Linked DNA regions of Kluyveromyces lactis. The protein of the gene in region 1 binds, or shares a complex with, the protein of each later gene. Links are inferred from orthologs where the notes say so. Each region holds a gene or a part of one and is shown on either strand. Other genes may lie near its edges.

Region 1 (2,199 bases):
TTTGTATGCTTGTTCTCCTGAGACTCTTCCTCAGGTACTGAGGTGGCTGCAGTACTAGGCGGCGGTTCATCCTCAGTTATCGGCAGTTGATTCAGTTCTAGTTCCGGGTCCTCATCGTTAAACTCGAAATCTGCAGGAATGAACAACGACTCTCTCCGTGAACTCTTACGCCTCCTCTTTCTCAGAGGTCGTACCTCATCATCATTCAGCTCGAGACTATTCCCGCTATTTTCATGGTTATCTTCCGCAATTGGATCCTCAAACCCAACTGGTTTCGTTGTGGTATTTGCACCAGTAAACTCCACTTTCTTCGCAGATCTCGGGCTTATACCATTCGAGCCTCTCAAAATCGGTTTAAGAGGGTTATCATGAATACCTGATTCTAAACCCTGGCTCTCCCGTACTGTGGTCAACAATTGGTTCATTTGCAAGAATTTTTCTACAATTCCGTCCTCTAACGTCTGGAAAACAGTATTGAGCTTCTCACGATAGCGCAATTCACCCATAGAAAGCCGCGACCGTAAGGAAACATTCTCTTGCACCAATTCACTCACTTTAGTCTCCATATCAGTGATTTTCATCATAAGACTGGAATTATATTTCGCAAGCTGACTGTTCTGCTGTAAATAAATTCCCTTTTGTTGCTCAAGCATAGCTTGAAATTCATCGTACTGCGAAGAAGCGCTCATGTTGCACTCTCACAAAACTTAGTAACACTATCCGCCGTCAATTCGGGTCCCTATAGACTTAGGAATCGCTCTTCTTTCAGTCAATGAACAGGTTATTTAAACGCTGAATGAGATCTAAAGCTTTGAATGTTTTCATTGTTTACGTTTTGTTCTACGATGTAAACACAAAAAAACAAGATTACCCGGATCATATTTAGTACTACATTTAATTCAAATGAGGTAAGTTGGACATGTAATGGGCAATTTGATGTTATCCAACCCTTCGTTCATTCTAAATAGCGGTGTTAATGCTTAGCGTAGCTTGTATAGATCAATCTCCCCTGATACAAGTCGGTTTTCTCGAGTTTTCTTCCTTTATTTCAATATCGGAATAATATGAAATCACGACTTTGAACTAATCTCTACAATGTGAATTCTTTCAAAGACTAGAAGAACCAAGAATTATCAGCTAAGATAGACACTTCTCGGAGCGAGTTGGATGATATATTCTAGCTGAAGAGTAAGAGGTTTGGGTCACCTGAAAAAAAGTTGTCAGTATGGCATTTGAAACCGAGATCGAGACTAAGAGAAGAGAATTGAATTATTTGAAGCATGTTTCTGCATTGACACAGAAATTAAAGGCTCAATTGGACGAGCTGAGCGTTCAGGTAGCGCAGATGAATAGCAATGCTGTGACTGTTAAAGACGTAATGGCTAATTGGGACTCGGTTCTTCGGTCTATCTCTCAGGCTTCGATATCTTTACTTCAGTATACAGAAAACGACTATGAGACTGGGAAATGGGCCAGTAAAGAGGAACATAGAAACCAACAGGGCGCTGAAGATGAAAGTGCTGCGTCAGAAAGTTCAGAAGATAACCAGCAGCGGCAACAGGATCAATTACCTCCGCTTCCGGAAACTTTGGTACGGGTGAAAGTTGCAGATGACGTTGAATAACGTTTTTATTGAATATATACATATGGTGTATAAACAGGTTTTATACTATGTACAATTAATTGGTGTGGCACCTTCTTCTATTATTGAATTAGAAAGATGTGGGACTTGTCTCGATTGTGTTAGTTGCGTAATTGATGACACATTGGTTACCGGTTTCCTCGTTGATTTCTCCAATGATGGATTGTAACATCGTAACGTCCAAATTCGAATTAGCGAAAAGAGCAACCTCTCGTTTGACGTCGCTAGCTAATTTATTAAGATCGGTTAGTCCATGGTACATGCCATCCAGGTATGAGTCAGTGATCAATTTCTCATTGGCCAAGTTGTCGATGATTGGAAGTTCGATACTTTGATGGTAGAACTGCTGCTTGAAAAAGACCCTTAAAGTTTGTCTAACCGCATTTTCATCGGATAAGAGACACCTTCTCCAGATCTGGTACTCGCAGTACTTTTTTACTTCAGTGGGTAACGTGTGATCAATGGCAAGGATACTCAATGCAAATCCATAAGAAGTATCTTGATTTAATAGTGTGAATAATTCTATCATATGCGGCACTGAGAGAGATTCTCTCCTC
Region 2 (2,340 bases), on another chromosome or scaffold:
TCATGACCCAGATCTCCATGCCTGAGTCAATGATAATAAGTTTAGTTTGCTTATTTGCACTTATTGATGAAAGTGGGACAACAATCTCACCACGACACACAGGAGATTTAGAGTTGAGATAATATGAGAGAATCCCAAATTTTATATCGAGTTTAAAGAACCGTTTGGTAAAACCTTGTAGCTTCTTTCTCTTCTTTTTTAGTAAATATCCTTGGAATCCTTTACTGTTTTTCAAATCGTGATCTGTCGCGGATGTAGAACTTGGACTCAGTGGTTTTATTGGCACTGGAGAATTAGTGTTTGGTCCGTTAGATGTACCCACGTTGGAAATTGTGCTTGGAGTAGTCTGGCCTGGAGATGGCGCAAATGGATTGGAATTCGATTTTGCTAATGAGGACAAAGATGGATCCTTGAATGACGTTTGGCTATAATTCAAAGGTCGCTTGCCATTCGTCCCATTGGCACCAAAGCTTTCCTCTTGGTTTGAAATGACGGATTCCTGATCGTCATCCAAACCTTCCATTGCCGATGCACTAGGGTTGATACTCACCGAAAATAAACATTTTTTCTTAGTCTGCTTCGAAGTAGTATTGTCTAAAATGAACGCGTAATAACAACTCTCACAAGTTGATTCGAACGATTCGGCAACGGTATCGTTGTTAGAAATGGTCCCATACCAGGTCACCTTTTCCAGACCGCTTTGTGCTAACCTTGTTTGCAACGGCACGTTTTTGTCCTTTTCGTGATCTGCCAAGGCAACGTTAGGCTTGGCATCGGTTGAAATTCGAATTAACGGATTAGTATTACTATTCGAAGAAGCTTTTACACTCCCATGGTTTGTTTCACTCAAATCAGTCGTGGATGATCCACCAAACCGTCTGTATATACCAAACCCTATCGATTTTTTCAAAGGTTTCAACCGAAACGAAACTATATCACCTTGAGAAACTTTCTGCCAACGCACAACAAATGATTTATTTTGAACGTCAATAGTATCCATGTTTGATGCCGAAAAAAATTTAATAGTTACAATTGAATCACTCTCGAAACTAAGTAGACGTTCCAATCTACCTTTATCGGTCGGTTATTCGCTGAAAAATCAATTCTGAATAAGAGAGATTAACCAGGGGAAAAGATCAACAAACACCTGATAGGCACGCAGTAAGAATGGTAATTATTCACAGGTGAAATTTAACTGACAATATCCGTTACCAGCAATTATCACCAAATTGATATATGATGCCCGCCAAAAGCTCGAAACGCACACTAGAAGTCTGTTATAGATGAAATTTGGATCCTTGTTTACTTCAAATTAAAGGTTTAGTTTATTATACTCAAGCTTTTTTTTAATTCATTTTCACTGAGAAGCTGCTTTGGGGCAGGTACTAATTTTCATCATTTAAAAAAAAAAAAAAAAAGGTTTATAATAGCATCCAACATGTATTCAAATGCAAAACATCGGTCAAAAATGTAAACCACAAGGAAAACACAGGCACTAGAGGCTACAAAACTGGTGTATAACTATCCGTCATCAGTTATATTTGTGATACATACCATGGAAAACCCGTATGAGAAAGTTCAAAGCAATATTCTGGCTAGAATCATTGGCAATGTCGAAAGGTTGAACCAGAGTGTAGTGATACTAAACCAAGAGCTTCGAAGGGTAAACACCAAGAATAAGAATTTGGAACTGATGTCACAAATGTGTGAGAACTATAGAGAATCTGTTGATTTCCAGTTGCAGGCAACTTCCAAGAAACAGGACCCATTGTAAGGTCTCACATATATTCTAACGAGAAGAATTTATTAAAAAAAAAAAGCAGTTACTTAAGTGATGTAGTATGTACGTATATACATACGCCTTTTTATAGTCGGTTTCAGGACCGTACTGATTCTAATTTACAGATAATAATGGATTAATTTTTTTTGTTCATGTTCAGTGAGTTTTAACCGGTGCAATTTTGTCTGCGGATTGTGTTCCAACTTGTAGGGACCTTAGTTTGGCAAAAGGTTGTATCTCTTCTTCAAAGTAACTCTTTGTCTGGAGTATTTGTCATCTGGAGAGAATCTAGCAGGGTGAGCAGACTTTGTAATTTCATTATCCTCAGTCATCTTCTTCAAAGTATAGATTCTCTTGCCTTGGGCATCCAAAGTGTACATCAAATGCATAGTGGGTAGTGGGTAGAGTGTGATAGATGCTTTTGGTTGGAAGTGAAAAGGAACTAGATATATGGATAACAAGACACTTTCTTTCAAGCGATGAGCTATACCGATCAGTTAGTTAATGCTATGTTGAAAAACTGATTATATCTCTTTGAAAATTTAGCAGATGCACTTGAT

What was found.
Region 2: DAD2 (region 1) and DAD4 share a complex: the UniProt entries of both Saccharomyces cerevisiae proteins name them as parts of the DASH complex. The link is inferred for Kluyveromyces lactis from reciprocal best matches to the Saccharomyces cerevisiae genes DAD2 and DAD4.

Annotation. Positions count from the first base shown.
Region 1 is NC_006037.1:700,821-703,019, forward strand, and holds DAD2 (Dad2p), read left to right. Parts: upstream 1-1,225; coding exon 1,226-1,624; downstream 1,625-2,199. Other genes in the region: SGO1 (Sgo1p), read right to left, coding at 1-689; NUP133 (Nup133p), read right to left, coding at 1,713-2,199. UniProt on the Saccharomyces cerevisiae protein: Component of the DASH complex that connects microtubules with kinetochores and couples microtubule depolymerisation to chromosome movement; it is involved in retrieving kinetochores to the spindle poles before their re-orientation on the spindle in early mitosis and allows microtubule depolymerization to pull chromosomes apart and resist detachment during anaphase.
Region 2 is NC_006039.1:1,465,643-1,467,982, reverse strand, and holds DAD4 (Dad4p), read left to right. Parts: upstream 1-1,555; coding exon 1,556-1,774; downstream 1,775-2,340. Other genes in the region: oxysterol-binding protein related protein OSH3, read right to left, coding at 1-1,000; snoRNP complex protein NOP10, read right to left, coding at 1,996-2,169. UniProt on the Saccharomyces cerevisiae protein: Component of the DASH complex that connects microtubules with kinetochores and couples microtubule depolymerisation to chromosome movement; it is involved in retrieving kinetochores to the spindle poles before their re-orientation on the spindle in early mitosis and allows microtubule depolymerization to pull chromosomes apart and resist detachment during anaphase.